Linked DNA regions of Coturnix japonica. The protein of the gene in region 1 interacts with the protein of each later gene in a pairwise test. Links are inferred from orthologs where the notes say so. Each region holds a gene or a part of one and is shown on either strand. Other genes may lie near its edges. The genes, in order: PRKN, RGS2, SNCA, TOMM70, GPR37, SYT11 and RAD1.

Evidence for each region.
Region 2: the proteins of PRKN (region 1) and RGS2 interact in binary tests that used the Homo sapiens proteins (3 or more experiments, as listed by UniProt). The link is inferred for Coturnix japonica from reciprocal best matches to the Homo sapiens genes PRKN and RGS2.
Region 3: the proteins of PRKN (region 1) and SNCA interact in binary tests that used the Homo sapiens proteins (3 or more experiments, as listed by UniProt). The link is inferred for Coturnix japonica from reciprocal best matches to the Homo sapiens genes PRKN and SNCA.
Region 4: the proteins of PRKN (region 1) and TOMM70 come close enough for resonance energy transfer, tested with the Homo sapiens proteins (3 studies listed by BioGRID). The link is inferred for Coturnix japonica from reciprocal best matches to the Homo sapiens genes PRKN and TOMM70.
Region 5: the proteins of PRKN (region 1) and GPR37 interact in a two-hybrid assay, tested with the Homo sapiens proteins (2 studies listed by BioGRID). The link is inferred for Coturnix japonica from reciprocal best matches to the Homo sapiens genes PRKN and GPR37.
Region 6: the proteins of PRKN (region 1) and SYT11 interact in binary tests that used the Homo sapiens proteins (3 or more experiments, as listed by UniProt). The link is inferred for Coturnix japonica from reciprocal best matches to the Homo sapiens genes PRKN and SYT11.
Region 7: the proteins of PRKN (region 1) and RAD1 interact in binary tests that used the Homo sapiens proteins (3 or more experiments, as listed by UniProt). The link is inferred for Coturnix japonica from reciprocal best matches to the Homo sapiens genes PRKN and RAD1.

The regions. Positions count from the first base shown.
Region 1 is NC_029518.1:40,625,576-40,628,589, reverse strand, and holds the end of PRKN (E3 ubiquitin-protein ligase parkin), read right to left. Parts: intron 2,234-3,014; coding exon 2,124-2,233; 3' UTR 996-2,123; downstream 1-995. UniProt on the Homo sapiens protein: Functions within a multiprotein E3 ubiquitin ligase complex, catalyzing the covalent attachment of ubiquitin moieties onto substrate proteins. Substrates include SYT11 and VDAC1.
Region 2 is NC_029523.1:3,458,656-3,463,347, forward strand, and holds RGS2 (regulator of G-protein signaling 2), read right to left. Parts: upstream 3,134-4,692; 5' UTR 3,100-3,133; coding exon 2,984-3,099; intron 2,850-2,983; coding exon 2,748-2,849; intron 2,649-2,747; coding exon 2,587-2,648; intron 1,815-2,586; coding exon 1,648-1,814; intron 1,244-1,647; coding exon 1,049-1,243; 3' UTR 256-1,048; downstream 1-255. UniProt on the Homo sapiens protein: Regulates G protein-coupled receptor signaling cascades. Inhibits signal transduction by increasing the GTPase activity of G protein alpha subunits, thereby driving them into their inactive GDP-bound form.
Region 3 is NC_029519.1:31,289,589-31,294,355, forward strand, and holds the start of SNCA (alpha-synuclein), read right to left. Parts: upstream 3,279-4,767; 5' UTR 3,111-3,278; intron 2,848-3,110; exon of another isoform or gene 2,827-2,847; intron 1,668-2,826; 5' UTR 1,643-1,667; coding exon 1,522-1,642; intron 1-1,521. UniProt on the Homo sapiens protein: Neuronal protein that plays several roles in synaptic activity such as regulation of synaptic vesicle trafficking and subsequent neurotransmitter release.
Region 4 is NC_029516.1:76,028,850-76,032,946, forward strand, and holds part of TOMM70 (mitochondrial import receptor subunit TOM70), read right to left. Parts: intron 3,747-4,097; coding exon 3,620-3,746; intron 2,521-3,619; coding exon 2,411-2,520; intron 1,133-2,410; coding exon 984-1,132; intron 1-983. UniProt on the Homo sapiens protein: Acts as a receptor of the preprotein translocase complex of the outer mitochondrial membrane (TOM complex). Recognizes and mediates the translocation of mitochondrial preproteins from the cytosol into the mitochondria in a chaperone dependent manner.
Region 5 is NC_029516.1:20,448,652-20,453,368, forward strand, and holds the start of GPR37 (prosaposin receptor GPR37), read right to left. Parts: upstream 3,018-4,717; 5' UTR 2,165-3,017; coding exon 1,544-2,164; intron 1-1,543.
Region 6 is NC_029540.1:1,790,221-1,794,317, reverse strand, and holds part of SYT11 (synaptotagmin-11), read right to left. Parts: intron 3,504-4,097; coding exon 2,680-3,503; intron 884-2,679; coding exon 760-883; intron 1-759. UniProt on the Homo sapiens protein: Synaptotagmin family member involved in vesicular and membrane trafficking which does not bind Ca(2+). Inhibits clathrin-mediated and bulk endocytosis, functions to ensure precision in vesicle retrieval.
Region 7 is NC_029547.1:9,684,310-9,688,913, forward strand, and holds the start of RAD1 (cell cycle checkpoint protein RAD1), read right to left. Parts: upstream 3,259-4,604; 5' UTR 3,128-3,258; coding exon 2,933-3,127; intron 2,031-2,932; coding exon 1,922-2,030; intron 914-1,921; coding exon 655-913; intron 1-654. Other genes in the region: BRIX1 (ribosome biogenesis protein BRX1 homolog), read left to right, coding at 3,373-3,525, 4,191-4,302. UniProt on the Homo sapiens protein: Component of the 9-1-1 cell-cycle checkpoint response complex that plays a major role in DNA repair. The 9-1-1 complex is recruited to DNA lesion upon damage by the RAD17-replication factor C (RFC) clamp loader complex.

The DNA.
Region 1 (3,014 bases):
CCAAGAAAGAGATCTTTCCATTGTAGCCTTATGACTCATGCTCAGTCATGCCCTGCCCAGACTGGAAAGAAATATAGGAGCTGATCTATATGGTCCCTTGGCTTCAATGGACCTTGATGCAGAAGTCTGTGTTAAAGGTATCTACATTAAAATATTACCTTGTTAAGAATAGCTCTAACTAAGTGAAGAGTTTTTCTATCTCTGTAAGAAAGGCACTAAACAAAAATGGGAAAGAGATACAGACTTCTCCCATGTAACTTAGTATAAAAGTAAAATTATTTATGGAGATTTTTTCCCAAGCCTGTTGGTAAAAAGCCATAAAATTATAAAATAGACCCAGGAGAAAGAAACCAAATGATAAAATAATTAGAGCTAACAGTAAAATATCCTTATTAAAATAATGTACATAAATGAACTACATCACATCATTCTATTGCACTCCTGTGCTCTAATGAAACCATACCTGCACACATTTTAGTTCACTGGTACTAAAGAGAAAATGGCCTTTACCAGGAGGCCATTGTGCTCTCTTTGCCACTTTCTTTCTCTCACAGCATTTTCTTAATTCCGTCAGTTCACTTTCATTTTTGATACTTCACCCCTTCATCCTTATTATTTTTTTTCTCATACTTCTAAGGTGATTTCCAGCTGAGACAGATGAGTACTCCACTGCTTTTAACAGCTGGCCATTCTTGTAGAGTCTGGGATTTCTTTGTACCTCGAGACTGTTGCTCTGCACTGACTGATAGAAGGCCCACCCATAATTTCAGAAGTCTACAGTCACACCACACAAGCTGTTAATTCAGACTTGATACAAGAAGTTAATGGCCCTGAAATTTATTTTTATTCTAAGAGTATGCTTTAATCAATGGGCTAGTCTCTCAGCTGAGAATCAGATGAGTTTAATCTGTCAAGGAAATGCATTATCCATTACACCCAGCATCTTTTTACTCACTTACCTCGTATAAAAATAAATGAATACATAAGCAATGAAGTCATTTTTGACACCTTTATTTGCTGTGTGCTTTTTCTCAAAATGACTTATAAGAAATCCTTACCTGACACGCTGAGATGAACAGTACCCATTTCATTTTAGATTAGGACAGCAATGCAAAGGATATGAAACAGTAACACTGTTCAGGCTTGGAAATGCTATAAAGCTTTACTTATTGTGTAAACACTGTAAAATGAAAGAAGTTCCTCATTGTTTGAGCTGTGAATGCATTTTCAGAAATCATATTCTGATTCAATTTAGATTGACAATGAAGGAAACCCCCAAGAAGGTTCCTCCTGCTTCCCATGCTACATTCAAAGTATTGCTATAAGCACAAGAAAAATGAAACCCCTGGAGTTTAGCTTTTACAACACTTAATCATATCCAACCACCACTGCAACACTCATGGTTAGAGCTCAAACTGCATGCATCCTCAACTAATCTATGAGAGGTAACTTAGTCTGTGTGATGATAGGCAGATTTCATGCCATGTGTTACAAATACGCAAGCACAAATCTGGCATAAAGCTGGCTGTTTCTATGAGAATTTGGTTTGAAGGCAAGAACACTACAGCAAACCTGTTCAGAAGGAACCCTGAGTAAACACTGAACAGCCAGTGTCTTCCATCTGTTAAAAAGCTATTAAGCCGTTAAGAAACACAGTCTTAAAATCAAAAATTGTGCTGACTGAGCAAAGGAGTTGGTGCTGGGACTCTCCACTGTAGCTCCTGATACACAAAAGCACCTGCTGCTCTCTTGCAGGAGTCACGGATTTCTGACTAGAAATATCAAGTGTGTTCCTCATGGTAAACCTGTCTGCTCTCTGTGCTGACAGGCTGAAGATATTCAGAAAGGTGAAATTTATCCTTCTTTGTACCACGATGAGTAAGTTTGTCCATTAAAACAATTTCTCTTTTTACTTAATGGATTTAAAACCCTTGGCGCACCTTCAATGTGAGTTTAGTATAATTCCACAGGTAAGCAAGAAAAAAACAACAAACTGAGCTAACATCTGAACTATCCACCCCTGAAACCACTGGGAGTTTTGTTCAAGCAGGGAGTTCAGAATGTGACCCTGATGAAAGCCAGCTGCAGCAGCAATGCCAGCTAGCCCCTGGGTCACTGTGCCATCAGTCAAACCAGTGATTGCCCATGCAGGTTCTGTTCCACTCCACGCCACAGTTCCAGCACCACTCAAACCTGCACTGAGGTCGAGGACATTTCATGTGCATGCAGCCACCTGCAAAAGAGCAAAAGAATGGTTTTGGTACGTGAAAAGCACTTACTGATATTAACCAGCCATTAACAGTTTTAGAATCAACTTTTGTTGGCATTCAATTACTAACCAAGTAAAATATTTAGTAAAAGGGAAATTCAAACCTGAAGACTGCTTCTCCTCAGCTTTCTAAATCCTGCTACTCCCTCTCCTATTAGGATGCAGCGTGCTGGTGTCATTTGAGGGACTCCAGAAGTAGGAACTGAAGTACTGCCTGACATTTGGAGAGACTGTGCAGGGGACACAGAACAGCAATGGCAGGCTCTAAAACAACACTTATGGAGGTGACTGCTCCGAGGTAATCTATGCTAGTAGAGTGGTGAGCCAGAAGTTGAACTAAATTATTAGTTTTTTTAAATTTGGATTCAGTGTTGGAGGGTTTTGCAAAGAGTGACTCAAGAGACAGATCTTAATGGCTGAGTGCCGATGATACAAAAATGGCATTAGTAATTTAAGTTGACTTGACCTTCTTAGTACTGAAGCAGTCTTTTGATCACATCGATGTTTCCTTTGTGTTAGGTTTCTTACATGCCCATACTGTGAGAGCAGCTTTAATCTCTCTGCTCACAGCCTTGATGATATGTTTAGTTTGTAATATATAAAACATTAACATTGTCAAAGGTCATTACAAAAATGTACTTCAAATGGAAACTATGTTGCTCACCACACAAAGAAATCTCTTGTATAATTCAAACAGAATGAAAACCATGCAGTAAGAAGTGCTGAAATGTCATCTCAGTTTGAC
Region 2 (4,692 bases), on another chromosome or scaffold:
GCTGCTTTCTGGCTGATCTGACATGTCCAGCTGTTTGTGTACCTTGCACTGTCGTAGAGATAATTTTGAGGTAGATTCTAGCAAAGCTTTCAAGCTCTGAAGGTTTTTACTATGTTTGAAGCACCAACGTGCCTTGTATATCAAGAGTGAATTGCTTAAAATTAGCCCAGTGGAGACTGCACTTGTAAGAGTGGTTACTGCAGGATAACTCACTCAGACCAGTTTGTGTGTGTGCAAAACAAGCAACAAAAGCAGTTCTGTATCAAAATAGTTTATTAAAAACAGTAAGACTTCACTGAAGCTTGCTGTCTCAAACAAAATTATGACATATTGCAGCGTTCAACACAATCATAATCTGTATATAAATATAATACTGTATAGCTCCTGTTCACTGTAGCTGGGCTTTGCCCTCTGCCCAGCTTCACGCAGCCCTGCTGCCATGCCCAGCCCTGCAGGCTGTGCTGCACAGCTCATTCCTCCTAGAGCAGAACTGGCTGTCCCCTCCTTGCACAGCAGTGAGGGTAGAACTGGTGCCTGCAAACCACACACAAACCTCAGTACATCTCTTTGCAGCTCATGTCAGCTTAAACAGATGGTGTTACAACACCCAGGAACTGATGACAGCAGTACTGGTTGATGTGCAGGGGGAAAAAAAAAAAAGCCACCAGAATCTATACATGACTCAAGTTCCCAGCACTGCTCAACTGCACAGACTTATGCTTCTGCTTGCAGAAGGGCAGCTCTGTGCTGACCTGCTGTATAACACCACAGCTATGACAAGGAGCGTGTCACAAGGCACAGCTCAGTTAGATGCGTGCAGGCTCCTTTACTGCAGCACTCCAAAAAGGACATCACCAGCCTGGTGCACTGCTGCCAGCCACAAACGCCTTCCAACAATGTCCTTTGCCAACAGCTTTGCACCAAAGTCAATATCAGTCCTTATGCTGAGGCAAACTGACTGAGTGCTCCCATCTCAGTCTCTCAGGTCAGGATGCTGCCAAGCCAGCTCAGTTCCTTGGTAGCTGAGAGGTGTTTCCTCACTCTGCACTCATGTTCCCTGGGCAGCTCTGGTGATGGGAGGCTTCTTGCACAGCTCCTGATAGAACTCCGATTCCAGAAACCGTGGGTATGAGTTGTTCTCCATGAGGCTGTAAACTCTCTTCTGTGCTGCACTGAAGCAGGTGTGTGTGGCTTCCTGGAGGTTCTGTGCTATCATGTTCTTGGTCTGGAAGTCAATGTTTATCTGAAATACAAAAAAACAGATGCTTACTTTCTGAGAACTGAATCCCAACAAGCACAACACTTTTGAAGAGGTCAGGAGTCCTTTTGTTTCAGGGATAAATTGATGTAGTTTCTTTTAAATTATTTCTTTACTATGAAAACTTGGAGTAATCCAGGTATGCTGTTTTCTGGTGCCAAACCCAAGTATTACAGGTGTTTGACAAGGCTGGTTTTTCCTCCCCCCCTCCCCATTCATGCTAAGGTGGAATCTGAAGTACAGCTTGTACCATTTTCCACCTTGATGAAAGAAGGCAGTCAGGGAAAAGTTGTGTCCAATGCATTTGTGGCATCTGCATCTTACAAGCTCAGAGGAATAGAGTGGGGCTAAAGACACGAAACAGGGCAATGCTTGTGTGCTTTCCTTACCTCCTTGGGAGCCTCCTTTTCAATGAAGTCATTGTAGATTTTCTTTGCCTTCAGTGTCAGCTTCTGGGGGGATTTGGTTTTCTTGAAGTCCTCACATGCCAGCCAGAACTCGATGTTCTCTTCGCAGAACTCAGACTTCAGAAAAGCTCGGAAAGCAGCAACACCATCTAGGGAAAGGAAGGGGGGAGGGAGGCAAAACCACATCAATTAAGTATTCCAGGCATCTTATATTTGCCAATTTGTCACATCTGCTCCTAGCAAAATATTTTGCTGTAGTTCTGGTCTTTTCTGCAATGTTATGGTAATAAGAAATCCACATTGCAGGCAAATTAACACCCTAACAGCTTGGCAGGCTTCAAGTCAGCCAAATTAATGTAAGTGCAAAACCAAAAGCTGTTTCTAGTCAGTGTGTACCCTTATGATACCTGCAGATGAGCTACGTTAAGAAGAAAAGCTCTAGATGGGATCATCCTCATTAACCTTTATGCTGGAGCAAATACTTCTGACAGCACAACAAACCCCTGGAACGCTTTTGCAATGGAAAGGATGACTCAGAAGTTCAAAGAACAAATTGCCGTATCAGCTCTTAGTTGTTACTGCTGTGCTGTTGAGTGCTTTTTTTTTTTTTTTTTCCCCAGCAAAAATCTGCCCCACAAGAAAATGAAATCAGTGGACTTCTGTGCTGCAGAATCCTTACTGAATTATAAGAATGAATCTGATTTGGATAAGAGAGCACAGTGCTTTGCACTTATGGCAAAGCCAGGCTGAATAGGTAAAGTTGAACTACAGAGCCTACAGCTACAATGCTTCAGAGTGGGGAGCTCTGCTTTAATATTACTTTAAGAGCTCCGTGCAGTACTGACATGCAGGGAAGCCATCTCCTATATCAGCTTCTCCCCTGCTTCGTTCTTAACAGTTACAGCCTGAAGACCAACTTACATTTGTTAGCCAGCAGTTCATCGAAGGCTTCTGACCACAGCCGGGCTTCCTCGGGGGAAGGTCTGTGTGAGGCAGAGAGAAGAGCAGAGAAAGTGAGACCGCAGCTCGAGATCTGCTGCTTCTTTTGTGCAGCACTCGAGTTATCTAAGGCTGGAACTCACCTGAAATAGGTGTGGTGTTTGCTCGCTTTGTTGGACTTCATTTTGCCAGAACGGGAAGAGTTCTGCAGGAAGTAGCTCAGCTTCTTCTTCCAGTCTTTAATGCTGGAAAAACAAAAGACGCTCATTTACAACGAAGCCGTCAACCACCAACCTCACCCCAGTACCCAGAGCCGCCTTCAGGCTGCGAGCAGAAGAGAGAAACCTTTCCCTTCGGCCGAGCCGGCGGTGCCACTCACATGGTGCGCTTCATCATCCTGCCCTTGTCCGTCTCCTCCAGCTCAGCTCGTCGTCGGCTGCCCCGCTCCATCCGCCCGCCGTCCTGCGGCAAAGCAACGAACACGGCGCTCTGCATCGCCCTACACCGCTGCCCGGCTGCAGCAGCGCCCCATATAGCACCCGTGCTCCGCCCCACGCCCCGCCCCGTATGGCCGGGCGCTCCGATATTGATTTATTCTCTTTTTTTTCCCCCCCCCTTTCCCCTCCCACCCCTCCCAGAGCTACTTTTCTCTCCGCTCTTTTCTTTCTCTCTCCTCTTTAAGCTGCTTTTCCAACTCTACTTCTCTTCCTCTTCGATTTGCAGATTTGGGTCCGTAAAGTCAGCACAGGCTTCTGAGCAGAGAAGAAAAGGAGGAAGGAGGAATAAAGGCCCCTTTATTCAAAAAAGAAAAAAAGATAAAACCAAAGCGGCGATAAATTTGAGCACGTCGTTTTGCCCCCTACCGGCCGCACGCGTCACAACACCTTAGGCTCGAAAAAGCATCCCCCCCCCACAGCCTTGTGCCAGAGCATCTTGCCTTAGGTAAAAACGGCCTCTATTTAATATTTGAAAGCATTTAAAGAAGGATGCAGTACTGCTGCCTGTTGCGTGCAGGAGCTGCCCAGGTGGGAGCTTGCTAAGGAAAAGCCTGTGTGAGGATGAGAAGGAATAGTCTCACGTTGCTCCCGGGGAGGACCAGGTTAGGTATTAGGAATAGTTTGTGGTGATAGAGTGGCACAGGCTGTGCTGGGAGATAGGGGGGTGTCATCGTCCCTGGAGGTGTTCCAGAAAGGAGGAGGATATGGCACTGAGAGGCATGGTCAGTGCGGATGGGCTGGAGTTGGGCTTGGAGAGGTCTTTCCAACCTTAATGATTCTAAGACAGCTTTTGTTATGTCTTTAAACAGTGAGAGGGGAAAATAGCATTTCAGGTTAAAATAAAACACTGGAGGCATTCAAGGCCAGGCTGGACGTGCTCTGAGCAGCCTGGTCTGGTGGTTGGTGACCCTGCACATAGCAGGAGGTTTGAAGCTAGATGAGCATTGTGGTCCTTTTCAACCCTATGAACATGGAATTGTAAGGTTAGATGGCCTGATAAGATGTACTTGCTATAACATCTGGTTTTAAAAAGATACTTAGATCAACTTTGATCATCTGCATTAATATGTATTTGAAGTTTACATTTTCATTACGCTCCTAAAGTGAGGCTATTAGCATGTTTTGTTGGTTCTGTGTTGGTTTTTTGCAGTGAAGAAGAAACTACATGGAATAGTTTCTTGCTGCATCATGCTGTGCTGCGTGCTTTCTGGTAGTGACCCTGACCTTTGCTGGGACAGCAGTTAAAACATTTGTGTGACAGAAGATGTTTTCTGTGTATGAGTTAAATAGAAGGGGAATGTGTCTGACATCAAACAACGTCATCAGCGCTGCTGCTGGCATCACGTGAACTAGGCAGGTTGCACCAGTCTGCTTTTGGGATGGCAGAGGAGCCACAGGCAAAGTGAGGGATGCAGCATCCATGCTGCATCTCACGCTGCCTCTTGCTGATGGTATTTTTAATGTTCCCATAGAATCCAGCAGTGCTGCCCCAACCCATCCTCGCTCACTTGGGGTGCAACAGCCTCTGTGTGTCTGCACAGCAAGGGCTGCTACCGGTGTAGTGCCAAACCTTTTCCTTTATGTCTTCTGA
Region 3 (4,767 bases), on another chromosome or scaffold:
CACACAAAACAGGTTTCTAATACAAAGAAACCAATGACCCTAAAACCACACTCAAGATAAACAATAACAACAACAACAACAAAAATTTAAAAAGTAAGCCATACCCTGAAAACTGATTTTAATATCAAGTATGATGTGCAGTGAAAGAACAGCTATTTTGATGCTGAAAAATGAGCAGATGCTCATTTTAAAATAGATTCATCTTACAACTGCTTTTTAAAATGACTTCCATCTCTGTCGGCAAAAGCACCAAGCTTAGCTACGGCTCAGGAGGAGAAAAATATATTCCAAATGAGTAGTCTAAACTACGTGGAGTAGAAATAATTCATTACAGACTGGCATCAACCTGCAAGGGCAGAAGGAATCCTGGAAAGATGTACAGAAACATCAGTTCTTCCATCTGTTTTTTTGGTTTTTTGTTTTAAACTCTGTTCAACTTCTTTTTAATATTTGTACACACTTCCCCAGATAAAAGCAGCATCCATTACAGAATTGACTTGCTGCCAAATCATAAAAAAAGAACGAATCTACAGAAAAGAGTGTATTTTCCTTCCTATTCTACTACCATGCAACTGAAATTAACTTAAAAAAAATAAAATGGAATTCCTCCAGTTTAAATGACCTATTCATATGTTCTTGGCAGCTTTTTTCCTGTTCATTTTTCACTATGGCATTTATGAGACAGTACTTTAAGGCCTGGTAGTTTCTAAGTGAAGACGATGATTGTGTCGTCAACAGTCCAATGTGAGATTTGAAAAGAATCTTTCCCCGGGTTCCATGCAAAGTACTCGCATAGTCTGGGTAAGTCAACTAACATCTGCTTCCCACTTTCTCCACTGTCTCAGTGACCGTAAAGGTTCTTCTTTGAGTAGCCATGGAAAATAGCTGCTGAGGATATGCAATAGTAAGTATAGAACATTAGGTTAACTTTGAAAAACAAGGAGCTGACACCTCACCATTCAAAATGTTACTGCTGAGGACCTTTATTTAGTGAAGAAAGAAAACAAGCTCCTTTCTATGGGGTGTACAGTTATCTTCCTTCTACTCCAGGAAAAGACATTGGCACGTCTTAGATTCAGTTCCAGAACCAACATCTCAAGTTTTTTCTTTAAAAATCCTGCTTAAAACTCAGGCATTCTACAGGATTCTGTGAATTTACCTCCCATATAGCAAGCATCTTAAATAGGGCCAGTCAGTAACTTGCATTGTAAGGCCTCTTCCAACAGGCAAGTTTATCCTGTACAACATTACAAATGCAGCCCCATATGACCAGCACACACAGTGACAAGAACCAAAAAAAAATACATGACACACAACAAACAGCAATCAAACAAACAAGCAACAATCGTCAAAGACCCTATGCTCAGGAGAGTTCAAATCTCATCATGTTTACTTTGCAGTTAATCCTCTCCTATGAGTGATTACATATTTCAGAGAAGAGAGAGAATTCAGCTCTTTCTTTCAGATGAGCGGGGCTGTCAGGGTACACCAATCAGCAGCACAACCTCACTGCCCACCTACCCACATAGAGGACTCCCTCTTTCGTCTTTCCTGCTGCTTCTGCCACTCCCTGCTTGGTTTTTTCTGCTGCTGCTACAACCCCTTCCTTTGCCTTGTTAAGTCCCTTCATGAAGACATCCATGGCTGAAGGATTTCTTCACACAACACTAGAAAAAAAAAAAAACAATACCAAACACACTTTAAATAATGGTTCTCAGCTTTTTTTTTTTTTTTTTGCCAGAAAATTTTATTAAAACTGATTGCACATCAAAATACTTTTGAAATACATTATTTATACTCACATATTATATAACTTCCATCTACATCCGTATTAGCAATATACACATACCTCTCTGTATCTAGGATCGCTTTCAGTATTTCAGATAGACAAAAAACAGTTAAATAACTAGAAAACAAAGGAGCTCCATTACACAACTCACCTTTACATCTCACATGCTACCACAGAGCAAGTTCAAGTTAAGCAGTATGGCTAAGGTAGTCCCTGAAAGGCCCAGGAGTTCCCACAGAAACGTACAGAAAGGTCACTGATAACGCAGTTCTCATTTGAAGTTGCACTCACTGAAAGGAACAAATCCATTCCTTGCCTACCACCATCTCCTCCAAAGGACAGTTTCTTGTCTATTAACTACAAGATCTAATCCCATCATTCGCTGATGCTCCACCTTCTCATTCAAAGGAAAAACTTAAAAACTAACAACTTTACAAACGCTTCTTCTAAATGAGAAACGTTCGCTCATTGTTGTTTGAAGAACCACTAATGTTCCAGAAGGACTTGAGCAAACACAAAACTGCTTTCCAGCAACCCAGCATTTTGCATGCAGCCCATATTGCTCTGCCAGCACTTGAGCTTTCAAAAGGGATCCTGCACATGCATCAAGACTAAGGAGGAAAAAAAAAAAAAAGCAAAGGCAAGAACATGCTACACTAATAACACCACACTACAGCTAGCAAGTAGGTTCTGTGGCAGTTATACAGCCCTACGCTACAATTAGGCCACAAAGACAGTAATTAAAGCCAGCAAGACACCCCTTTCACAATCCCGTCGCCGACAGCCCCTTCCCTTTCTCCCCCTCCCCCTCCCAGAAGATGCACTGCCTGCTAGTTCTTTCCCTCCGCCGGAGGAAGGGATGTCTAGGAAGACAGTGGGGAGCTTGCTACTAACCCGTGGCAATCAGAAGGGCAGAATCCGTGCCCCACTGACACCGTAGGCAGCACCGAGAGCAGGTGTGGGAGCACCTGGGTGCAGAGCGAGGGAAGAAAGCAGTACATGGCTACGTGGCTCAGTCTAAATAAAAGAATGGGCACCTGTGGAGGAAGGAAGAAAGAACGCGCAGGGCTCTCCCACATGTATGTGTCTGTATCTATACGGACTATCCGAGGAGAAGGGCAGGGCTACGTGAGCACATAAGCACCCAGCGGCTCCCTCACACGGCAGCCGCGGCGCCCGCTGGTTTCCCCTCCCGTTCCCTTCCTCCTTCGTGCCCAAAGGAGAACACGTTGAGCGACAAATGCACCTGTCCGCACACCCACCCCTGCGGCTGCCCAGCCCCAGGGCGAGCAGAGCCTCTCATGCACTCCCCACCACCTACCGCTGGGTCCGCCGCTGCAGGAAGGCGGGGGGAGGCAGGGCAGGAGGAGGGCGAAGCGCAGAGAGACCTGATGGGAGCTGCCCCTTCTCAGCACATCGCCAACTCTCCCGACGGCAGCAAGGCAGGCAGCGAGTGTGAAGGAGAGGCAGGGTGCGGGGCGGGGGCGGTAGGAGGAGGGGCCGGGGGCGGTGGGGCGGCTCCCAGCCTCCATCCCCTTCTGGGTGGGAATGTGCTGCGGGTCGGGTATGCGTCGTGACGTGGGGGTGGGAGGTAAGGATAGGAAAGAAGAGGGGAGGCTGAGGTCCTGGTCATCTCGTGGCACCACCTGTCCGCTGTTCGCCCCGGCGGCTGAATCACAGCACTCAGAAGCAATGCGAGCAAGCTGTTGCTAGTGAATTCAGCACACCTGTTTCGCTTCACCCACGGCTCAGAAAACGCCCCCGAGCTCTTGGTTACTTATCTTCCTCTCGTAAGCCTTCAGGCCGGAGTGACTTGAGGTGAACGCTCTCAGGATTCACGCTCCCAGCTCATTTTTAAGGATGGCAGGTAATACTCTTGTAGGTAAAACAAGATCCTTAACCCCACAGCATAATATAATAAAATCTTTGTCTAAACAAGGATGAGAAGCCCAGCCTCACACCTGTTGGTCTCCATTGTACAGACCAGAGCCACTGCATTTCCCCTCTTGGTCTGTTACACTCAAGTCACTTTTCCCCAGAAAGGGAAGGCAATGTCACTTCTCTGCATTGCTGCAGAGCGTAGGCATGAAAAGCCAAATTCAGTGGAAAACAAGGTATTAGAACAGATGGACCTTCAGCATCAGTACATCAGTCAGCATGCTGTACAGATCCTGCAAAACCTTGCAAAAACAGTTTGTTCTGTCATTGCGCTCCAAAGGAGAAGCAGAGCTTGGTACAGATGAGACACAGGGATGTGAGCTGCACAAAGCACCTTCCATCCATCATACTGGGCAGACAGCAGACAGGTTCCTGCTTTTATTTCCATTCTGAGCACACAGTGCAGAGTTTTCTCTTTTTCAGGTTTCTTAATGTTTCTTTACCGCTTGGTAATCTTCCTTGGGATTCATTCCACTACTACATTTAACCAAGCAAACATTTGGTGAAATGTATTTTTTTGTGTGAGAAGGTGCTGACTGAGAACACAAACCATTCCTTCATAATTCTGCTCTCCAGAAAATCCTTAGCAAATGATCCAGCAATTGCACATCCTATTCATCATGAGCTACACTTTACTTGCAGTCAAGGTTGAAATTGCAGAAATAACACATTTTACATGAGCAACAATAACATCTCAAATTAATGACTTTGTCTGGCTAGATAGTCAGTGTTTGAGTGGAAAGCAGCTCTGTCCCCCTGGGACCTTAAGTAAATCCATACTCTGAAAAGCAACAGCTCAAGTGGTACGGAAGCCAACACAGCAGCAGTGCATTTCTACTCAGAGACAATAGATGAGTAGGTGATCAGAGACTTCAGATGAGGCCGTCCAAAGGATCCCTGGCAAAGTCAATGCTGATTGTTCTTTAGGATGTTTCCCACTACATAGCACCAATGAGCTGACTATGAATGAGAACAAATTCTCTTCCTCATGCACGATGCAATACATTAGCCCTATCTGATATAACTGACTGTGCTAATAC
Region 4 (4,097 bases), on another chromosome or scaffold:
GACAGAACCACCACAGATCCAAAACAATTTAGACATAAAATGCCACAGTAACATCAGAAAGAAAGAAATGAAGTGTTTTTTTTCCCACCTACTTGCTTCATTTGTCCCTTGAATGTTTTTCACATTAAGGACAATGTGAATCTCTACTTCAAAACAGAAGGGCTAATATGGTACACCAGGTCAGAAAAATGAACAGTGAACCTAGCAATGTGCAGTTTATATGCAGAAGAATGGATTTCAGATTTAAAAAATTACAGTAAATACTGCTTTGTTCTCAGCTCCATGCCCTGGATTCACTGAATCTGCCTGTATATCAGGCCATTCTACCCTGATTTAAAAGATTCATTGTGCTGTTTGCGATGGCCTCCATATTGATAGCAGTGATTATCCTCCAGAACACCAACTGGAAAGCAGCACAATAAGTCAAAGGCCCATTTACTTAGCGCTCAAACTTCACTCAGAAAACAAACAAGTGCAAAAGCACTAATGCTTTTCTTTGTCAGAACAAAACTTGCTTATGAGCGATTTGATTCTAAAAAGATAAATATCCTTTCAGCCTCAGTTGCTGTTATTCAGTTCTCACCAATAGACAGCTTTTTTTCTGAGCTCGTCTTCTCCCTTTCAATCAAAGGATGATTTGCTCTTTCCCTTCAGAATTCTCCTTTAGCATAATGTAATTATTCCTTTCTTTCAGCACTTTCTACTTCTTTCTTACTCTCTACCACAGTATTTTAGAAAAAATTTAGTTTGTCTTCCCCATTTTGCACTTTCTTTGTTTAAGGGATCAAAGACATTTACAGTTTGGAATTAGTCAGACAGCCCTCCAAAGTTTCCTTTTTAACACTGATTTTACTTCATAGGTTTATTTTGTTATCACAGATCTCAGGTACTATAACATAACAGCAACTTAAACTGAAAAGAACACCAATACCACTAAAAATAATTTTAACAGCAAACAATTTCCAACTGTACTGTACACTCACTTTTCTTTTACTTCAGAAGCTTCTCCCTCCTTATCCTTATCCTCATCGGATTTCTCACCCTTAAGCAAAGGTTGGGAGATGATATCATCCGTAAAAGAACTGAAATAGGATTTAATGAACTGTGGCGAGGGCATCAGAGGCTCACGATTCTGAAACACAAATACAAGGTTAATTCACTAGACTGTAAAATCAGATGGTAATATCCTAATTCTTACTTGGGGCTTGGCCCAGACATCAACTATTTTATCTGAATCATGAGAAATAACACCTTGGACGCAAAATCCTTTGTACAGCCATAAGAAGTTTGCAAAAGAGAATTACAGTTCGATCCCTCCTGCAGGTGAAGTCTGAATACACTCTTCTCTGTTTCTCTATTAAGTTCAGTCATAATAATCCTGACAGAGAGAACATCCATTTTATGATGCTACCACTATTCTACTACAGGTACCATTTATTTTTTGTTACCTCGATGTCACACAATTATGTGAGCTTCTACAGAAAAGAAATTCAGCATCTCTAAGTCAGTGTGGATTTCAGTAGGTAAACTGCAGTCACAAACAAGCCAGCATAATTTAATGCATGTCCCAACCTAAGGCCACTTAAAATGACTCTTCCTGGCTAACTCTATACTTCCACAGTTCTTGTTGCTGCAGTTTCCAAACATTCATGCAAAGAAATCTGTGTCCAAACAGAAAAGTACAAGCATAAGCATCCATTTACATAACTGACTCAGAAGAACAGGGACTGTTACAAATAACCTGTGGGAGATGGAATCATATTTCTTAAGTCAGAATCAGCAAGTCTGACCATGAATATAAAGGTGAGATTTTGCTCTACATCATTTCTTTTCAGCAATGTTTTTTGGCTTTTTTAAGAACAAAACCAAACCCAACAATATTATTTAGCCACTTTCTAAACCCCAGAAATTCCATGGTTGACCTAATCCTTCCTGCATTTAATTTCTATCTACAAAGCCAAGAACAACAACCTAGGAGTAAAACCTCCTCTATTATCATCCTTCTCATTTTAAGCTAGTCGCTACATATCAAAGTTTTGTATTTGTTTTTATTTATTGTTCATAAACTTTCCTAATACCTGATGTGCAACTGAACATTTGACTGCTGTTGTTCTAACATCCGTTATCTTCCAAGCCCAGAAAAACCCAAGTAAGGCAGCACATCAGCTTAGGATTGTCTCTTGAACACCATCATAATTTTGAACATTACAAGGAAACAACCTGATTGTTAGAAATAAGCCCTTCTTCCCCACAAAGGTTTCAAGCTGTTTGGTCAGAACCCAGAAAACAACAATGGTAACATATTAGCTTTGTGAAGGCAGCGACCAACTTGCAACTGTTATCAGAATGCCAACAAACAACATTTCAACAGTCAGAAATCAGCATTTGTCAGCAGCATCACAAGCCTTACCTTGTATTTCTCTTTGGCCTTTTCTTTTCCAAGGAGTTTGAGAACTTTATCAGCTAATAACATACTCTGCTGGTTTTGAAAGGCTTCTAAAATGCAGACTGCAGTGACATCTAGGAAATAATATAAAAATAGAGATTATTGACCAATTCTGATAGTTACAAAACACTAAAATGTGCCACTAATACAATGAGTTACTCACAAACTAACACATGTCCTGTAATAACAGCAAATGAAGAAAATTAAGTTAATAACTTGTGCATCTTAAAAGAATCAAAACAGCTTGTCTTCTGGGACTGGTCACCATTCTCTACATAAATTTCTGCTTTTAAACTTCACTTTTTGTTCAATCATACCTCATTCCTTTCTCAGCTCTTAAGATATCTTCCTGTATTATATTTCCATCTTTTTCTGCCTACCTCTGTGCCATGGGAAAGAAACAGCTTTACAAGAAGCATCTTGCTAGCACATTTGAAGTGCTAACTCATATCACTTTCATTCACACAGAGCTTCTGAGAATGTTAACCCATTGCTGCCTGAATAATGTTCAGCATTGTGAAACGCACTCTTAAGGTACATTATCTTTATTTCTTCTAATTAATGCAATGCTACTATTGATTCTTCCTATTTATTTTCCAGTTAAACTGGAAAAAGCAGATTCTGCCAAATGCACATCATTAACATAAAAAAAGGATTTTTATTCTTATCTGTTCTAATGTGCCTACCTCTTACGTATCAGGACAGAAATGCTACTGAAACTGTTTTGCCTTTTACACCTGCCACAAGCATTTAAACAGCTGTAACACCTGTCTATGGCTAAGCACCTCTATGTGTGAAAACACCTTGTTTCTGGACCAGTACAGTTTCTCTAAAAAGGAAGAAACCTTATTACCGCACAGAATTAGAATGATCCTTGTCTGCGTTACCTACACAACACATTATATGAATTCTGTTTCAACAAGTAGGGAGCTTCCTGGACAGAGAATACCCCAAGCGGCTACAGTAAGATCCATTTTGCAGGAGCTATTTCAGACCTAAATGTTTCTTCTTAAAAGAGAACAAAATGCACTTGTTGTAACTATAAATGACATTTAAAAATAGTTAGGGGCTACTGTAGTTACAATAATTTTAAAAAATAATAATAATTATGTAAGTTTAATGATCTCCAAAGTGTCTGAGCACCGTTACATATACATATCAAGAGACACTCACCTTCTAAACACTCCTTCTTATTGTCTAGCTTCTCATGAGCCTTTGCACGTCTGAAGAGAGCTTTTACATATTTAGGATTAAGCTCCACAGCCTTTGTACAATCTTGGGCCACTTCTGACCATTTTTGCTGTGGGGCAGAAAAACATGATGAAAGAAGCCCTACTCAGCTGCATGATATTAGCTTTCTGCTACCAGCTCCAGGGTCATGCCCACCTAACAGTAGCTGCAGTTCCCAGGGCTCTGGTTCTACCTGCTTGCTTCTATTTCTGCAAGTTTCTCAGTAAGAAATTGCCAGGCGCCACTGGAAGCCACCTGCACCAGAAGAGCCACAAAACTGAAAAGGAATTCCTACAGAAAAATGAAACCAGACAGATTTTGTACAAAGCATATGGAAGAAGATAATGACTTGATGCAGATACTTGTGGGAAGTGACACTGGGACTGAAAGACTGGTACACAAACAAGAGAAGAAAAAAGGT
Region 5 (4,717 bases), on another chromosome or scaffold:
AGGGGACAGGTCTGCTCCATGTCTGCAGTGTTCCTAGTGGTGTCAGCATTGACGGTAACACCCATGAGGTCGGAACTGCACTCAGAAAGTGGCAGACATTGGCTCTAATTCCCACCTCTGTCTCCTCAGGGTCAAATCATAGAATCATAGAAATACTTTAGTTGGAAGGGATCTTTAAAGGTCATCTAGTCCAACTCCCCTGCAATGAGCAGTGTTTTCTTCTACTTACTGCTCCCAGGGTGACGAATATTCTTTACATGCGTATTATACTTAATGACTAATGAACAAAATATGTACAGTTCTGGGAGTGACATGGTACCTCAAGGCTCTCTCTACTCAGTTGTTCGCCTCAGATACAACTTAATTAAATTTCCTCTGGGAAGAGGAGAATGACCCCAGTAATGACCAAGCCTCAGACAGGCACCATTGGGCTGGTCCATCATCAGTGGATGGCTGACAGTTCTTGAATAAAAGTTCAGCTGTGGGCATCTGAGGAACTTTAAAGTGAAAACTAAGGTGACATTAGAGAATAAAGGAGGGGTCAGCAGCTGCCTGATGCCTTCAGGATTACAGCTACATTTGACAGCTCCATTTCAGCTCAGGTAATTCAGAAGGGGGGAGAAGGGAGGGGAAAGTACTGAAATACTAAACTTAGATCACTACTTTAAATAAAGTGGTCACACTTTAACTGAAGCAGGAACTACTCATCTACTGGATAACACAGCATCCCTAGAAGTGAATTCAGAGCTCTCAGAAGCTCCTGCCCAAAGCTCCTATTAGCATTCTCAACAAATACATATTTCACCCTTCACTTCTTCCCAAACCCAGGTCAATGGAGTGTACCCTAAGCTTTCCAGATCACGGCATCAGTATACTAACTGGCTTCAGTTCCTCTGAGTACATCACAGCTCCACTCTTTGTCCAGTACTGCAAGTAACAGAGTGCATCACACAGAACAGAAGTGATGGCAGTGTAGTGGCTGCACGCTCTATCTTAAGACCTCCATAAAAGTATCGTTTGGCAGCTGATAGTGGAGACTGATATTCTATGTATTAATAACAGGGTTAATTTTTTTCTTCCCTTTTTCACACCTCTAGTATCGCATTTGTACTACAAGCAAATCAACAGTTTCTTCTCAGCTTCCAGTTTAGAGAATAACACTGAGCAGAAGGATTTGGGCGAAGAGCAGAGAGAGACAGCATACCGGGCTCCCACTCCATCTCACCCCTCATCTCCAGCACATGAATCCAACTCTCCTCCAACCTATCCCAACTCAATCCCCGAGTCATTTCACTTTAAGGGGGGGGGGGGGGAAAAGAAAGAAAGACTAAAACTTGTAATCAAACGTTGCGAGTACTCCTCGCCTTTTCAGCACCACGAGGAGCGATAAAAGTTTGGCAGAACTCGCACGAGAGGAAGCGCTCAGCCGGAGATACGGGGATCCCGGAGCTGCCACCCTGACTGACCACGGGACGCCCCCCGGAGCACGGGACCCCACGCTACGACACGAGGGCTGCCCGGGATCCGCTCGCCCCGCCGTTACCTCGATGTAAGGGACGATTTTGCAGGAGAAGTCCTCTAGGAGCCACTTCTTGGTAAGCTCCTGGAAGATGACCAGAGGAAGGCAGAAGAAGAGGATGAGGAAGTCCCAGAAGGCCAGGTTGGCCAGCAGGGAGTTGGAGATGCTCCGCATGTAGTAGTTGTGCCACACGATGCACATCACCGAGAGGTTCCCGATGATGCCGATGCCGAAGATCACCACGGAGAGGCACATAACGGCGTAGGCGCCGTACGACTCCTCGGTCAGCGGGTAGAAGGGGTTCCGGAGCCGGGCTCGGCGCCCCGTACCATTGCCGCGGCCCCCGGCGGCGCTCTCACCACGGGCAGAGCCGTTCAGCGGCAGCCACCGGGGGCCGCTCCCCGCCGCCGCCCCGACCCCGCTCTCGCTGCTCCGCGCCCGCCGCCGCCCGGGCTCCGCCTCGGCCCCGCGCCGGGGCACAGCGGCGACGGCGCGGCGGCCCGGGGGGGCGAGAGGCGTCGGCGCTGAGCTGGAGCGCTGCGGGGGCGCCGGCAGAGCAGAGCCGGCGACGGGGAGCAGGGCGCAGGCGGCCCAGGCGCCCAGCACCGGGCAAAGCAGGGCGAGGGGAGCGCGGAGCTGCCGCATGGCCGGGAGGCGGCGGGGCTCAGCCGCTGCCCTTCGGCTCGGCGGGGCTGGCGGCGGGGGACATACCCGCACTCGGAGCTGAGCTTCTCGCCGCCTCCCGGGGCAGTGCCCGAAAGTTGTGCCGCCGCCTCCGCCGCGCGGAGTTAATGTAGCGTGTGCGGGGCCGGGAGGACCCCCCCCGGCGCTCCGCCCTTCCGCGGGAGCGCTGCCGCCCCGCCGCCTGCCGCCTATTTACATCCAACAGCGGGCAGCGGGGCTCTCGGCTGGGAGAGGTCCCCCGGGAACGCCGCCCATACCCGGGTGACCGCGGCCACCGGCTCCTCCCGGAGAGAACAGGTTGTCGCGCGGAGCGCAGCGTGTTTGAGATCTTTGCCAAACTCCGTCCGTCGGCAAGCAACGCGCTCGGGGTAGATGCAGTCCCGGGACCGACCCCTGCAGGATGCTCCCGCCTCCGGCTGCAGCGAGAGGGCGGCGACCGCAGCTCCGTGCGGGAGCTGAGAGGTGCTGGTCGGCGGGTTGCTCCCGGCTCAGCCCGGTGCCGCTGTCAGCCCGGTGCCGCTCGGTCCAGCTCTGCCCAGCCCGGCTCGGCGCAGCGGCGGCTGGGGGCGCGTCGGAGAGACGGGCGAGCAGCGCGGCTGCCCCGCAGTGCGCAAGCGCCGCCCGGCGGCACGGAGGGACCGATCCGGCTCCGGCGAGTCCGATTTTAGTCGGTGATGGAAGATGTGGCCCAAAGCACCACCCTTACGACTGGACTGCGCCGGAGGCATCCCCGGATGGTGCTGAGACCCATGAAGGCTGCTCTGCTTTTTTGTTTGTTTGTTTTGTTAGTTTATTTTCCTGTTTTGAGCGTCTTTTAACGCTTATGTTTGTTGTCCTTGTTCTGTCTGATAAACTTTATAGCTCTTCCTTCTTGCTTCCTTGATTTTTATATAATTCAAGCGTTTTTTTAGCTAAACAAAGTTGGATACGCTAACCTGTAAGTAGCCTGAAGCTCTGTGCAGCTCCTCCCCACCACCTTTAAAAGTTTTACACTCTTTCTAAGAAGCACATTGAGAAGTGTTCTTGTTCCCCACCCTTGAGCTGAAGCCGTTCTGTTAGATCAGTAAGCAGCTGGAGCTGTGCTCCATGGCTGTGCGTCTAACAGAGCTGTGGGCTCCTCTTGTGGACAAGTGTTGCGACCCCGAGCACAAGGAGTGTGTTTGCAGGCTTTTTGTCTTAATGACCAACAAAGGAAAATGTCAGTCTGCAGTGACAGAAAATACATGCTGCACGCACACGGAGCCAACCTGCCAGATGCAATCAGGAACACGCTGCTGTTGCTTTGTCTCCGCAGGGCAGAGGCAAGATGTAATGCCCATAAGATTCTTTGTATGGATTGTTTTCTTACAGTTTATTTCACAGAATTATTTGAGTTAGAAGGGAACCTTAAAGATCATCTAGTCCAACTCCCTTGCAATGAACAGGGACACCTACAGCTATGTCAGTTTGCTCAGAGCCCTCTCCAGCCTGACCTTGAGCGTCTCCAAGGACAAGGCATCCACCGCCACTGGGCAACCTGTTCCAGAGCCTCACCACCCTTATTAAAAATCTCTTTCCTCATATACAGTCTAAATCTTACCCCTTTTAGTTTGTGATCGTTTCTCCCTGTCCCATCATATCACACCCTGCTAAAGTCTGTCTTCTACTTTCTTAGAGCCCCCCTTTAGGTACTGAAAGGCTGTTTTCAATCTCCCAGAGCTTTCTCTTCTCCAGGCTGAACAGCCCCAGCTCTCTCAGCCTGTCTTGGTAGGGTAGTGTTCCAGGTGAGGTCTCCCCAGCACAGAGCCGAGGGCAGGATCACCTCCCTCAGTCTGCTGGCCACTTTTGATGTAGCCCAGAATCTGGTTGGCTTTCTGGACTGGACAAACAATAACCCACCCAAGTGGCAGAAGGGAAGCATTGCATCAAGGCACTCGCTGGACTGACTTTGCTTTCAACAGAGGGCAAAGTGCCTGGGATCAGGAGCATCCAACATCATCTACATTGAGTGTCTGGAGGTGCCCCAGTACACTACCTACACCAGAAGGATGACAAAAATTGACCTTTGAGTGGCTAAAAGGAGTGAATCCTGTCCCACACTAACTGAAGAGCAGTGCCTTTCCATGGTGGTCGCACAGAAAGCTCTCAGGACCCAGGTGCCATCCTGCTCCTGACGCCATTCTCACACATAGAGTTGGAATGTAACTGTGGGCAGCCTGAAATGTTTCTAAGCATGTGGAAACAGGTATAATAAATTTGGCACTGCTGCATGGAATGCTCCTTAATATAAGTTATGCTATTATTCTTCCTTAGCAATGTGTCATCTCATGGACTTAAATGACCAAGGTAGTAAATATTTTTTAACTAACAAGAGTGTCTTTAAATAGAAAAATAGCAGGAGAACAAGGGAATGGTAAATACATTTAACCTTTTTTTTTTTTTTTTTTTTTTCTTTCTTATTTTTTTCCCCCATTTGATTCTTTGGAGCTCAGCTGGTGTATAAAAGGAGTTAATGATGCTAATGAGCTTACATTT
Region 6 (4,097 bases), on another chromosome or scaffold:
CTGCAAAGCAACCAGCTCGCATCATAGAATCATAGCACGGCCTGGGTTGAAAAGGACCTCAATGCTCATCAGTTCCAACCCCCTGCTATGTGCTGCCCAGAGCCACCAGACTCAAGTCAATTTGCACTTTATGTATGCCATGTATATTAATTTAATCCTAATGCTGGCATATATACACACACACACACACATATATATATATATACATATATATATATATATATATACATGTGCTTTTCTGACTTAGCACGAGTTTTGAAGCTAGAAGTGACACCCAGCTGGCAATGTTTGGTTTTTACTTCTTAAATCATAAGCTAATGCATAACATAAGTATCAGGGAAGGATAAAATGTTAGCCTTGCATATTGCATCTGTTCTGTTCTGTCACTTGCAGTGATTCATCACGCTCAGGAGTTTGAGGAAAAGTTTGCAAAGTAAAGACAATAAGAAGAAGTAAATGATCTAAAAGTGAGCTGAGCTTGTAGCGACTGGGAGTTTCCTCTCACATTCTCTTATTTATCAGAATGCATTTACCTTCTGCAACACAATTCCTACCCAACAACCAACAGCTGCTGTGCACTGTTTGGATATTAAAGTCTCCTTCCTCCCCCCTCTGAACCCAGCCTGTATTTTGCTGCATGTTCTTTCAGATGGAAACAACGTTGTGCTGGAGCACCCCCGCAGCAAAGCTATGAATTGCCCTCAGGGTGGCTTTGTGTGGCAGACTACAAACATATTCAGGGTTGGAGAAAATAGCTTCTACCTGAGAGGCCAGTGATATCCATCTTTGGCAAATGTCTGGCTTTCAGCACCACGACGGTCATTCTCTGTGCCGCGGGTTGGTAAGATAGTGAGACCTGCAGCTCTCCTCTGCTAATGCATTTCTGTGAACAAGAAACAGCAATAGTGTATTAGGACAAGATCTTACAAACATGGGGTAATGTTGGGGGTGTTCTCCTTTTCTTATGCTAAAGGACCAGGAAGTTGGAAAATCATCTGTGTTTCATTCTAAATCCATGTTTAGCCGTAGCCATGTGAGGTCTCCAGAAGGAGAGCGAGCTGCTGAAGGTAAAACATCCTCTGCTCTATATACCATGTCTGCTGAGCAAAGCATCACCACAGCCTTCAGTTTCTCTGGGAGCAAACCTGGGGTCATGCTCAGAGAAATGAGCACCTCAGGGTTCCTCTGAGGTCTCCTCTGGAGATGCTGTGGTTTCTGGGAGCTCTAAGTTCACTGATTTCTTTTGGAGGTTACACTGGTGAGCACCTCGAGCTCCTTGGGCACACTTTGGGAGCTCCACCATCAGTCAATCCTACACCAGAAAATGATGAAGACAAAAAAGAAACTATTCTATTAAACTCGTCATTCATACTTCCAAAGAATAACACTATTAAGATTATTAGCTTTGGTTTCCAGTCGGCACTCATTAACTTCCAGTGAGATGGCGCTAATTTCAATTAAGTTTATTTGCTATCAAGGAAGGTGGTATTGGCAATGGGCGTGAGATGGTGTGGTGTAGGGAGCACAGCAGTGACAGCACTGCAGAACTCAAACAGCTGCTTGCTTTAAGCTCAGCCATCAGCATCCTGCCCTGCCCCCTCCATCAGCATCTGCTCCTTTTAACCCCCCCTGCAGTGCAGATGGGGAAGGAGGTCACAAATGGAGGATTTGCTTTGTTTCCAATAGAAACATCACCACAATAAACGTTAAATCTGTTGTTTTGAATGCTGATGCTTAAATTAATTGGAGAAAATGGTGTGCGCAGCTGGCACCAAGGTAAATTTACTTCTAGTTACTGCTGCATATTAAATAACGTGCACAATTGATCACATCTATTTTTTAGTGTGACCACTTTCCTCAATTTTTAACCTATTACTTGTAGAACTTACAGGACATGCAGTCAATGCACTGAAAAGAATACTTTAAAAACCCTAATGCAGAATGTAAAGCAGCCCCATCGAGGTGAGTCTTCAGGCTGCTTTTCTTTCCAGTCCACAGCACGAGACATGAGAGCAGGATTCAGTTCATTTGGGTTTTAGATATCTACACTGGGTAGATACACTTCATCCTCACATGGGAAAAGGAGGGGGTCGATGGAGGTGGGATTGATCTGAGCTGCTCCAGACGTCTCCCCATCCATGTTTTGTAGCAGCCTTTGCTGGTGATGCTGATATATTTTCAATGGCTTACAGCCTACGGTTACAAATTAGGTAATTACAAATGGAGGTGTCCAGAAGGGTCAGATGAATCCTTCTCTAAGTGCGATCTGTCTTTGCAGAGCAGGATATATTGTTACTCAGAATTGGTTTAAAAGGTATTCAGTGCAACTCTATCTCTAGCTGTTCTCCATGAACAGCTCGGACAAGGATGAATGTCCCTTTGTCACAATGCTCTTTTATTGGGAGTGGCATTCCCCATTTCTGTGCCCCTACAGTAACTGTGTTACCAAATCTCTATAACCACACAGCAGAGAACTGCCAAACTAAAAGAACATGGTCAGATATTAGTAAAATAACATACATAATAACATACATCTGTGGGAAAAAAAATGGGTTTCATAACTAAGAATGGTGTAGTCTCCGGTCTGGCCTCACCAGATCACTGAGGCTCCCAAACCAGAAGAACTGGGACCAAATGCAAAGCAAGGAAAGCTCAATGACACGAGATGAAGTTACTCACCTGTATGTTCCTTTTGAGAATCTCCCTGGTCAGCTGAACCTTCCCAGTGCTCGGATCCACTCCCGCAAGGGGCACCATGACTTCTCCAATCACATCATCTCGAGAGAAGCGATCGAAACTCAACACCAAGAAGTGAAGCACCAAATCCTGGAGCTGGCTGTAGGGGATCCCATAGAAGGTGAAGGTTTCATCAAAGACCGGATCCAGCGTCTTGCGAAGGACGCGGGTCTTCACGCGATGCCTTTTGTCGGGAAGAATGGTCATCTTGATGTATGGGTCGGAGCTCTGAGTGTGCTCATCCATAACTGGCAGCCCGTGAGCCTCCTGGATAGTAACCACCAGGGCTTTTTTAGGGAAGTTATAGTCCACTGAGAAAGTCAGTTCACCCAACAGGACGTCCTCCCCTGGAGAAGATGGGGAGGAGGTTTTACTTCCACCCGGAGTGAGGCTTTGATCTGGGCTTAGTTCATCTCCATAATCTACTTTGATCGGAAGCTGATCAATGTGAGGAGCTGCATTTGGCCCATCTGGAGCCTTATCAGAGCCTACCAAGCCAGATTCAGCAGCATCCACCAAAAGGTTTCCCCTCCCAGCCTCCTTAGGAGCTCCATTCTTGTCTCTCCGGATTCGATTGATTTTCTTCTTGTTACTCAGGGTCTCCGGATAGATGCTGATGCCTTTTAACATGTGAATGAATTTATACGGTGGGGTTTTGTGCTTTTTTTCTGCTTGCTGGTGACAGCATGTCCACACAAAAACTGTTACCGAGACAGAAACCACCAGGACAGTAGCACCAATGAGGCCTGCCACAACTGGAGAGACATCTGTAGGGGAGAAAAGCAGTCAAGAAAGAGCTGGAACTTCTTTGAGTGCCACAGCCCCCCAGGAGGGAGCATACCTGGGCAGGGACTCTATAGCATGCTATTCATTAAGCCTAGTATCAAGGCATCCCTAGAATAAAAAGTTAACTTGTATTTCTATGGACCCAACCCTGGATTATTCAGAAATTGTCATAAGATTATTCATAAATTGTCCCTTATGAGTAATTCAAACCTTGAACTCTTTCTCGTGTGAAAATCTGGTGTTTAAAAGCAATGGACAGAATATCCTCTTTTTGTACGTAGGGATTATTTGATATTTTGCTAGAGTTTATGTGTCAGTTGGGTTCTTCAGCAATGTCAGGCCTGAACAAAAAGGCACAGTAATCATTTTTAGCAACCAAGCTCGTTATTTTCTATTTATAACCATTGCTTTTGGAGATGTATTATCAAACACAAAATGAAACCAGTAGTTTCCAGCTCCCCAGTACATTATATTGACATATACAAGCAATTTAGTCAAGGGCCACCAGGATAATTAAAGAGCTGGAGCAGATGGAGGGTGGAGAACGGAGAGCAGATGGAATATGAGGACAGCTT
Region 7 (4,604 bases), on another chromosome or scaffold:
GGCAGGGATACCTCCCACTAGACCAGGATACTCACAGCTACATCCAGCCTGGCTTTGAATGCTTCCGGGGAGGGGGACATCCACAACCTCTCTGGGCAACTTGTTCCAGCTTCACAGTAAATACTTTCTTCTTAATATCTAATCTAAATCTACCCTCTGCCAGTTTAAAGACAATTCCACTCATCCTGTTGATGCACACTGTATAGAAAGTCCCTTCCCAACTTCTGCATAGCCCCCTTCAGGTACTGGAAGGCTGCTATAAGGTCCTGCCAGAGCCTTCTCTTCTTCAGGCTGAAGAATCCCAGCTCTCTCAGCCAATCCCTGTAGGGGAGGTGCATCTCCTACTTGTGTTGAGGGCCCCAAACTGGATACAGTACTCCAGGTGGGGTCTCACAAGAGCACAGTAGAGGGGCAGAATCACCTTCCTTTACCCGCTGGTCACACTTCTCACAATGCAACCCAAGATAGTTGGCCTTCTGGGCTGCAAGCACACATTGCTGGCTCATGTTGAGTCTTTCATCAACCAACACCCCCAGACTCTAATTCTCCTAAGGGCTTTTCCTCTTCACTCTGTAAAATTCCATTTCTCACCAAGGGAAGAGCAAATAGGATGAGCAGGAACATCTGAGTTGAAGTTTAGATAGTTTCTAGTACCTGAAATATGGTTTATCTGGAGACATGGTAATCTGCAGAACTTCACTGGTCATATCAAGTTCAGAAAATGCTTCTCGTAGCCCTTCTGACTGCAGGATAATTTTATTGATGACATTGGTGCTGCAGAAATTAAAGTCTAACAAGTCCTCAGGTTCTTGAGTATTAATTCTGCACACTGTCACTACTCCTCCTTCTTCTAAGAACAACATCAAGGGATAGCCATACCCACGATAACACATCCGAAGAGCTGTTGATGTTCCTGAAAAGGAGTGTGAAATACATGTTGTTCAGAGAATGTCCATCAGGGCATCTTATCACTTCAGGAAATTCAGGTTTTCCTGTCATATAGCTCAACCAAACAAAACTTAACACAGCTTAGCTCGCACTATGGTCGTGAATCTCTTTTTCTTAAACATCTGAATGTTTAGCTTACTAAAATCACAGGGCAGTTCAGGTTTGGGTCTTCAGTTCAGACAGCAGTAACAGCAGAGGAATCTGGAGTTCAACACATAGCTCCAGTGGTAAAGCAGCATGAGAAAGCCCACATCCTTTCACACTACTCCATATGAATATATAGTGCATCCTGCAGGACCCACACAGCTAGCCTAACTATCTTTGTAACAATCTTTCACAGAATCACAGAATTGTAGGGGTTGGAAGGGACCTCTAGAGATCATCGAGTCCAACCCCCCTGCCAAAGCAGGCTCCCTACACCATGTCACACAGGAAGGCATCCAGGCGGGTCTTGAATATCTCCAGAGAAGGAGACTCCACCACCTCCCTGGGCAGCCTGTTCCAGTGCTCCGTGAAAACTTTGCTTGTGAAAACTTCTTTTTGAACACTCCTTAAGTAAGCAGGAAAAAAAAACCTCCCAGGAAACAAAATTTCCCCTTTTTTTTTTTTTTTTTTTTTAAAGGAATATAATTCAACATTTGTGTTGAAGAGCAAAAAGGACCCCATAATAAAAGGGAACACTTTGCTTCTTTTAAGAAATTTTAAGAAATTCCAAGCTGTATCTGTACTCTCTCTCAATGTGATGACTTCTGCTATGGTTCACAGCAATGGGACACTTGTTCAACAAGTACTAAACTGCAGGTTCCAACCTCTTAAGGATGAGAGCTTCCACCCTTGGAAGAGCTTGAGGTAAAGAAGTCAGAAGTTTTACTAAGACTGGATATCTACCTATGGACAAGCACAGGTTTCACTGTGCAATTACAGGCTATACATACACACAGTCAAGGAATATATACATATATATACACTATACCTGGCAAAGAACTGGCTCCAAAAATGGTCAAGCAGTCAAGAAGAACTGCCAAATTGATTCGGAACACGACTGATTCTTCCTGAACATGAAACTCCTGAAAAATTTCCGCCTTTGGGAGAAAAGTAAGAGATGAAAACAGTGAAGCTTTTCCAATTACTTCACAACTTACTCATGTCTTACATTTTCAGTGACTGGGAGATCTCTTCATTTGCTTATAACTACCTAACACATAATCACAGTAATGGAGATGTTTGTTTTCTTAGGTACAAGTGATACGGCACAAGGAAATGATAACAAGTTACACCAGGAGAGGCACAGATTGGGTATGAGGAAGACTCTCCTTCTGAAGAGGGTGATCAACCATTGGACCAGGCTGCTTGGGGCAGTGGTGGAGGTGCTTAAAAAATGTGTGGACGTGGCATTAGGAGACCTGGGTTAATGATAATGAGGAGGTCAGGTTGATGGCTGGACTTAGCATAGAAACATGAAGGTTGGAAAAGACTGCTGAGATCATCTAGTCCAACCATCAGCCATCCCCACAAGACTCCTTAAACCACGTCCTTCAGTGCTACATCTCCTCATTTCTGGACACCTCTGGGGACAATGACTTCAATTCCCTGGGTAGTCTGTTCCAACACCTCTCCACTCTTTCTGAGAATAAGTTTTTCCTTACGTACAACATGAACCTCCCCTGGAACAACTGGATACCATTACCTCTCATCCCATCAAGGTCTTTTCCAACATGAATGATTTTATGATCTGTCTATGGCAGGATTTGACAATGTGACTGTTCCCAACCACTATATGATTAATTAATGGCCACATTCTAATCACTGCATCTTCCTCACATTAGCTTCTGCAAATACTCTATGGCTTTACTAAAGCTTCCCCTTCCCCACAGCTCATCTTCTGTACACCAGTTCTACCACATCACTTATTCGAGTCCCTAACGCTGCTACCAGCCCCTTCTCACCGTTAACCACGGGAAGCAGCTCAGCCTCCAGACCCTACCTGGATAAACGCATTGGCCTGAATGCATTTGGCATCCTCTACAGTCACCCGAAGCCCGTTGTCTGTGGCGAAGCAAGTGGCATGATCCTGGAAGTGGACGGCCCTAAGGAGGCTGGACAGATTGCGGGCGTTATCCAGGCTGGCCGTCAGGACGTACTGCTCGCTGCTGCCGGGGGACTGCGTGGAGAACGGCATGGCCGGCTCCTGGAGCCCAACGGGACCGGACCGGGCCTACCGCGGCCTAACGGGACCGGACCGGGCCTAGCGCGGCCTGACGGGACCGGACCGGGCCTACCGCGGCCTAACGGGACCGGACTGGCCTAGCGCGGCCTACACGGGCCTACAGGGGCCTGAAGCCACGGCTATCAGCTGCGCCGGCGCTTCCGGTGGCGCGGCGAGCGGGCGGAAGTGCGAGGTGCGCACGGCGCGGTGTCTGTAAGATGGCGGTGTCCAAGAGGAAGCGTGAGCTGCCGGCTGCTGCGAGGCCGAAGAAGCGAGTGAAGGCGGCTCCGGCTGCGAACGAGGCCACCGCTAAGGCTGCCCCGGACGGAGCGGCCCCGGAGGAGTACAGCATCCCGGCGCCGGTCTCTCAGGTAGCGGCGGGGCGCGTTGGGGCCCAGCTGGGCGGCGCTGGGAGTCGGGGCGCTGAGGGGAGCTCAGGCACTGCGCGGGTTGTGAGGGCTGTAACAGTCTAATTATGTTACTGCAAACAGAAGCAGCGTCCTGGGAAGCGGTTCCATTCTAATTATGTTACTGCAAACAGAAATAGCGTCCTGGGAAGCGCTGACAAAAAAGCGCTGTTCTGGCCGATCGATTCAGCTGTATTACCACAATCTAGAAACGCCTTCAGTTGAGTTCTATGCAGACGATTTTATGGATGATGAGTGTGCTTGGTGTCGGAGTTGCTCTGAGGAGCCTCAGGAATGGCTGTAGTTGCTGCTGCTTCTCGTTGAAGCACATTGCGGCCCGAGCCCGCAGCACATGTTCATCTGAAGGCAGCCTGTGCCTCTGCCGGGCCCTCTTATTAAAACATCCATTGTGTGCGGAGTTCTTAATGTTGTTATGTGCCTTTTGTATATATGCGTTGCAGTGAGCAGTAATGTCAGAAGTCGAACCTTTGCGGAGTTTCTGTGCGGGTGATGAGATTGCTATGAATGTTCTTGCTCATCTTTTCTGTTGCTGCGGTTCAAATGGGTGTTGTTGTAAGAAACTTTAAGAAAATTAAGGTTTTTGTTTAACGCTTTTGTCTGTTTTTTAGGGTAAATGGAAGAACAAGGAGCGGGTGCTTATTTTCTCCTCTCGTGGGATTAATTTCAGAACAAGGCACCTAATGCAAGACCTGAGAACGCTGATGCCTCATTCTAAAGCAGGTAGGGCTGAGTGTTATCCGTAGTGCATTTGCAGAGTGACCTCAAACCAAGTATTTCTGAGAATCTGGTACTGACTGATTGTGAATAATGGGACATATAAAATGTAGTCTGAATATCTGTTACAGTGCAGAAAAGCGTCATAGGACACATTCTAGAATTCGGAAAATACATGATAACAAACCAGGCTTATTCAGTTTCAATTGGATTGAACAAATGATTGAAGCCAGGAATTGGACTCCATGATCCTTGTGGAACTTTTGCAACTCAGGATATTCTGTGATAGCATGACGTGGCTAAAAAGC